Drosophila melanogaster: one gene and its partner. The protein of the gene in region 1 interacts with the protein of each later gene in a pairwise test. Each region holds a gene or a part of one and is shown in the gene's direction. Other genes may lie near its edges.

The links.
Region 2: the proteins of CG10663 (region 1) and lcs interact in a two-hybrid assay, tested with the Drosophila melanogaster proteins (one large-scale study listed by BioGRID).

What each region holds. Positions count from the first base shown.
Region 1 is NT_037436.4:12,483,191-12,487,126, reverse strand, and holds the start of CG10663 (uncharacterized protein), read left to right. Parts: upstream 1-2,091; 5' UTR 2,092-2,326; intron 2,327-3,936. Other genes in the region: CG10660 (uncharacterized protein), read left to right, coding at 1-315; CG33725 (uncharacterized protein), read right to left, coding at 771-932, 996-1,313, 1,372-1,437.
Region 2 is NC_004354.4:21,396,031-21,399,256, reverse strand, and holds lcs (la costa), read left to right. Parts: upstream 1-1,940; 5' UTR 1,941-1,976; coding exon 1,977-2,414; 3' UTR 2,415-2,530; downstream 2,531-3,226.

The sequences.
Region 1 (3,936 bases):
GTGAAGACCACGGCCTTCGAGCACGGCATCTACATAGACGCCTGGAAGTCCCCCATTTTCTTTCCCTCGCTGTCCACCAAGTGGGACGATGGATCCGGTGAGGGTACGATAGATATACCGCTCCAGAGACTCGATCAGTTGGAGGACATCGTGCTGCGCATCACATTGGCCACCAAGAAGATGGGCAAGAAACTGGTGCTCGGCACCGTCATAGTCGGCGGAGATCAGGCGGGGGATACGGGCTCCGAGCAGATGCGACTCATCCGGGAATCCCCGCCAGGTCAGCGGGTGGCCGCCTGGCACTGTTACCACTAAGCCGTACTCAAATCAACACGCCAAACTGAATGTACATAGCAAAAATCCTAAGTTTAATGATATAGAAATTCCCTTGTGCATATATATGTATTTCTGCTGTATGCATTTACTTTGCGATCGTTAAAAATATTAAATTTAATTGCGAATTGTGAAGTGCTTCTTTGGGAAAGTTTGGCTCATTTGAACGTCCATGGAGTGTAACATTCGGTTTACTGCCATTGGAAGTACAATAGCTGTGCAGTGAAAATAATTGTGCCTTATTTGGTTTTTTTGCAAATAATCAGCATGGAAGGGTATTTTTTTTTTAAAGGGATTAGTTTCAATAATTGTCCATCGAAAATATTTCAAAAAAAGTTTCTCAAATTAACCGGGCCCGCAAATATTTTGATTTTATTCATTTCAAATTTCACAAGCTCAGTAATGGGTATCTGTTAGTCGATCTCTAGTTTCGATGATTATGCGTTTATGAGATCCTCTGCATAAACAAAAGAAACATTCGTATCGAACTGTGGCCTTTTGTCGAATATCCATATTAAAGATAGCAAATAGTCTCCAGATGGAAATGGCAGCTTCAATTTCTCGGGCCTGAGATAGAAATCCTTTACGACTTGCAGGCCCTGTGGTAATGCAATGTTGTGATACCAAATTAAATGTTGAGTTATTAATTTTAAAATACTTACCACATATGGGCACGTGTGGTTTATGGTGGAGAAATCTTTGAAGAGATCGAATATAATGCGTACAAACGGATGGAAGTTGGTCCGCACAAAGCGACAAGCATCGAGTTTTACGTCTAATAACCAAGGCTTAAAACCGTTGGCCTTTTTAAACAGCTTGACGTGAACTATTATGTTATTGGCCGGATGTAGAACCGTTCCATTAAAGTTGAGTAAGACCTTCTCACGACTGACCGCCTTCAGACGACAATTGTGGAACACAAACCAGGATTGATTGCGACTTAGACAGGCGAAGTTCGTAAACTTGAAGACGACGGCATCCTGTGAAGGTTACATTATGTAACTATTTTATACTACTTAACAACTCTTTTGTTTTTACATTTAAATCAATGACGAGAATGCCAACTGCGACGCAGAGAATACTTGTAACTAGCTTTGACAACATGGTACTAAAAACTTATTGTTATTTATGTTAATTGTATTTGATGACATTATCAAAATACTAATCGATTTAGCAATTTCGCCAGTTAACAATGTAATTATACATATGTTCATATCTAAATACTTTTATTTTTTTGCTTTGTTTAAATTGTAATTATTTTCAAATTACATGAACATGTTTACTTATTTCCATACTGAATTTTTATCAGTTATGTTTTATCTTTTGCACGAGAAATCGATTCCAACGAAAGACGTAAAAGAAGCTGTTTTTGATCCTTGATCGGGATTAACAAGTTCATCCAAGCAGATAGTCGAGTAACTAAACTAAAACATTATTTTTAGCATTTTGAAGATCAATGATTAATGTAAAATTAAAAAATATTTTTTCTGTACTAGAGTAGAACAGACTTCGTTTGAGTTTTTCTCGGTGTACTAGCACCTTTGCCTGCATTCGCAATTCGCAGAAATCGTGGAAGCATTTGTGCGTCCCCCTGGGATTTTCAAAGCGATCCGCACATTTTTCACTCGGTTCCAGACCACTGTGCACGGCCAACATGTGTGTGGAAAAGTCAACGGCAAACGCGACGTTTTTCAGCTCGCCGCGGAGCGTTGGCGTTTTGCTTCGCTCAGTCTCAGTTCTCGAGAAGACGTCGGTTGGATCGGATCGGATCGGATTGGATCTGAACGAAACGGAACGGAATACGGGATACGGAACGATTGGGCCTGGACGGGATCGGGTTGTTTACGCGGAGTTTGCGAGGCGACATCCGACATCCGACGTGGTTCTCCAATGTAAAAATAAAAACTGCTTCAATATGTGTGCGCAAAACGGATTTTGAAACATTTTCGAAAAAAAAAGAAGGAAACTCGAGCGATCCAGTGGTGTCAACTAGGTAATCGTTGGGTAAAATTAACGCTAAACGGTTGACAGTTCAATATTCGAGTCATAAAAGCCAAATAATGTATGGGCCAGTTAGCCGTGTTTATATGCAAAGTGCGTCGGTTTATAGTTCTTAAACCGAAACAAAAATGCTGCCAAGTCGCTAATCGAAGTGCAGCTGAAGGAGACATGGTGCCAAGTGATAAATGGAATAAAAAATGTTTCATTCATGAAAACAATCCGCGTTCGCATAGCCACAAATACCCATGAGAACGCAGATGTATTTGGATCTGCACGCATGCTATTCTACACATGCAGTCAAAATAATAGCAATTAAAAAAACGCACAAAAACTAAAATATAGTGTGAACGATTTTATGTTGCATATTTCCCATGAATCATGCAAGATTCTCAAAAAAAAAAAAAAAAATACTTCTGTTTCGTAGCGCCTATAGAAAAATCCCCTAATTAATTATGTTTTTTGGTCAAAATTTATATCTTTGCGACATTTAGTTACCAAAAAGACATTTTTGTGGTTGAAACATTCGGTTGTCTTGAAAATAAATTATGTTAATGAGAATTTGGAACGGAAATGTTTATGGAACTTGAAAAAAAAAACAGAGGTGCGAATATCTAAAACAAATGTTTAAAATAATTTTGAAGCTTGTCTACAAACTTTGGAGTTATATTTAAAATACAGCCAAGATGCATTTAAAATGTATTAGATAGTTTTGTATTCACTGGAATATAGAAAGAGTTTTGTAATTATAAGACAGTTACATCATGAATCGAATGATTGATCTACGAAAAAGTACACAGTGCGTTTGTTTATCAATCTTGAAGATACATATGCGGCGTACACTGCTATTAATTTGACCCCATCTGTTGTTGCATGTGTGTTTAAAATGCATTTAATTCATCTGTGGAAAATTGGGTGTTCTGGTGGTGCGGTGCGGCGGGCAGGGGATCCATGGATGCGTGGATGTGGATTCGCTCGCCCGGATGTTCGGATGCTGGGTGCCTAGGGATCGCCGGCTTGTGGGGTGCTGGGCGGAGGCAGTTCGTCGGCGTCTTTGCGATGCCCCATCGATGTCGATGAAAATTGTGCATTTGTGTGTGCGCCGCTTTGTGTGCGTGGATGCGAAGCATGATTTATTTCCAACACTTCCGCTAATACAACTCATGTGGCCGATGTCGCACAGCAGACTTAATGCCCCGCCGATTACAAAAGGCTGACTAACAAATAAAGCTGGCCAAAATCTGTGGACAATACCAAATGCCCAAATGCCCAAATGCTCAAATGCTCAAATGGCCCATGCTGCCCACGAACTGCCCACTTAGTCGGCGGCAGATAAATAGGAAAAACAAAAGCCAGCGACAGCCAGCTCGCAGCGATTGGGCTTTTTTTTTAGTAGCTGGTCACGTCATTAAAATTGCATTTGGTTAAACGGGCCCGCGGTCATGCAACATAGACACACACACACACACGCAGTTGCACACACACAACGACACTTGATTGGCCATACCAGACATTGTGGCTAGCCGGCCAAAGAGCCACAAAAAATAAATCAGCCAGCTGCACTGCGAAAAAGATCTAAACAAAGTGAAAAAACAAAAATGAAAA
Region 2 (3,226 bases), on another chromosome or scaffold:
CTAGAACATTTGCGTAGCCAAAAAAAAAAAATAAGAGGAAATACATATCACATACACCAGTTACACCAGTAACTATTTTGACAAAATAGCCTGCTTCTTTTAAAACTTACTTGCGCTTGACATTAACAAACAGAGCGAAACGATGAGCATTTGCATTGCTCATGAATGATGAATGAACATTTAGCACACCAAATGCAAATTTGTTTACGGCTTACCCATTGCATTCCCTTTCTACTTACAAGAATGCACGCAGACAACCATTTACTAAATGGTATCCTGCTTTTGAGCTTTAATATATTGGTTATTATTATTTTTTTTTTTTTGGTTATTAAACGTTATTAAAAACAAAAAAAATAATTAATAGGTATGTGTAAAAAGTTAAGTTTGTTTATTAGATTAATGGATTAATGGTAGCACAATTTAACGTTGGAATTAAAGTAAAAAAAACATTGCGAAAGAGTTTAATTTGTCACGCCATTCTGTGTATTATCAAATTAAAAAGTTTTGAAAAATTTAAAAAGAACTAAACCTAGGCGCAAAACAACATTCGCTGACGACAGAATCCTTATACGGGAATTTAAAAAAATCCTCTTCCAAAACACCAATCTCAGTGGTATCTGACCACCAGCCTTCCGAAAAGAGAGGAAGGATCCAGAGATCCTTTACAATTTGGTGGATTCAGTAAAGGACCGACTTCAAAAAGTTATTTATGCCAAAGGTGGATATATATTTTATTAATTGGTTCCCTACTCCTAAGCTCCAGCTTCAATTAAACTTATTTACTGAGGTGTTAAAGGCTTGTCAAAAACTTTAAGCCAATACAAAAAATCATCATATTTCATTAAATTGTTTATATATTTTTAAGTTTCGTTAGTTAATTTTTAAATTTATGTTACTTACACACAACAACAAAAATCATTGTTGTCATATCAAAATATTTTAAAGTTTTACTGCGTTTATATTGTCAAAATACTTATGCCGACTAGTGTACATAAGCATATACATAGATGTATCGTCACATTATATTGAGTTTTGAGTAAAGCACTAATAAGTGGTAAGTGGTAATATAGCCCCAAGAGGATTTTTTTACTATCGACATATAGTAAGAATGCACTGAATTCATGTTAAGTAAGTCATTTCTGTAGTATTAACAACTTAAAGATTTATATAATAGACTTTCCAGAATTTCTTACGATTTCTCTTTCCTTAGTTGTTTTCAACTTTACGTGTTTGCAAATTTGACTTTCATTAAAGCCTAACGGAACCACTTGTTCAAACATCCTTATTCTTAGGTAATTCACACTCTTGTCAAAGACACGATTGATGGTTTATAAACATCAAGTCCACTGACGCCTGGCCACAAAGTTCATCACATATGGATGGAGCGCAAATATTTAGCTAGATAATGGCTCACGGAACTTGCTGATTCCTTTATGTAAGATCCATAAAGCAATCCAAACAGCTGGTAGAAATTATTCGTACTTTACTACCATAAGGTAAAAGCATTGTTAAGTTCTGAACTGAAATAGTTTTAGATGCAATTGATTTTAAGACGCATTTATCCAGCATTCAATTTTATAAAACTTTATTTTCAAATATGTGTAATAGTACCATTTCAATATGAATAATTTATTAAATTCAGAAAAAATAGAGAAGAGTATATATTTTTTATAGACTCATTAACAAAGCTTTGTAACCAACAATTTTGGAAATAAACCTAAACATGAATCAACCATTGTCTACAAACTCATATTCTTTCCATCTGACAGAACCCCAGAGTGAAGGCCAATGTCAATTGCGAAGTGACTGACTTGGAAAGTGGAATTTACAAATCCACACTGACGTTAGTTTGCTCAACGCGCAAACGTCACCGATGGAACACATGTGCCACCGAGACTTTTAGCAGACGGTGGGTATATATACCGATGCCAAGTAATGCCGAGATCAGTTCGAGTCGTTAACTATCAGATAACGAAATGCGTACCCTTATCCTTGTTACTCTTGTTGCCCTGGTCGCAGTGGCCTCCGCCCAAGGACCTGGTCCTTGGGGTCCCGGTGGACCTGGTGGACCTGGTGGACCAGGTCGTGGTCGCGGAGGACCAGGACGTGGACCTGGCGGACCAGGTGGCCCAGGAGGTCGCGGACCTGGAGGACCTGGAGGACCAGGAGGCCCAGGAGGCCCAGGAGGACCAGGAGGACCAGGAGGCCCAGGAGGACCAGGATGCCCAGGAGGACCAGGTGGACCAGGAGGCCCCAAACCATGGGGACCTCCATCCAACCAAACCACATCCACGACAACTGAGGCCTCAACAAGCACTTCCACCACGACAGCTTCGTCCACTACAGTGTCCTCCACTACAGAGTCCTCTACGGAATCCTCGACGGAATCATCCACAGCATCCTCCACAGAATAAATCGCTTGACATGTTCCCCTTCGAGTTTTGCCCATTCGGCTATTCCGGGTTCATAAATAATTGTATATATCAAAAAGCGAATCTGTGCGTAATAAATTTTTTTTTTTAGCTCAATCGTGATTTTTTTATCTAAGTTAATCCTTGAATGCCAAATAGTTATCCAAAGGATCTTCATCCATGTTTGGCTTATGATCAACTTGATGTATCAAGCCAGAAGGTACATGCGAGTACCACGCGAGCCATTTAATTACTTCGGCCAATACTAAAACTTTTCGTGAGTTAAGTAATTTTAGAACAATTAGTTAAATGGCATTATGCAATGCCAGTGCTAAATTATCCACTGGCGATTAGGAAGTGCATTGAGAATTTGAAGCAAATCATTCCCCGGGCCAATTGGAATCGAACTTATTCGAGCCGGCCTCGTTTCTCGCTTGGGTGAAAGCCAAATTGTTTACCAATTAAGTGCATTTGGTCAATTTGCGACAGAACTGGCGCTAGTGGAATCCAAGAAGAAGGTACAGAAGCTTAAAAGGATGAGCCCGAGGAGCAGCAACTGGATTAGGAGGCATTAAAAGTTATAAAACAACAAGATTATGGCTTTGCCATAACGAACACACACGCATTCACTCAACTGGTTATGTGCCAGTGAACAAAGGCGTTTAGGGTGTCCTCTAATAAATACTCTTGTTTTCAGGATGTGTTTCCAGGTCTACGGTTTCTTATAAAAAGAAATTTGAAAAAAAAAAACACTTTAATGTATGTGTATGAGTAACGTGCTATTTCTCAGTTCTGGTTACTTTAGATATTGAATA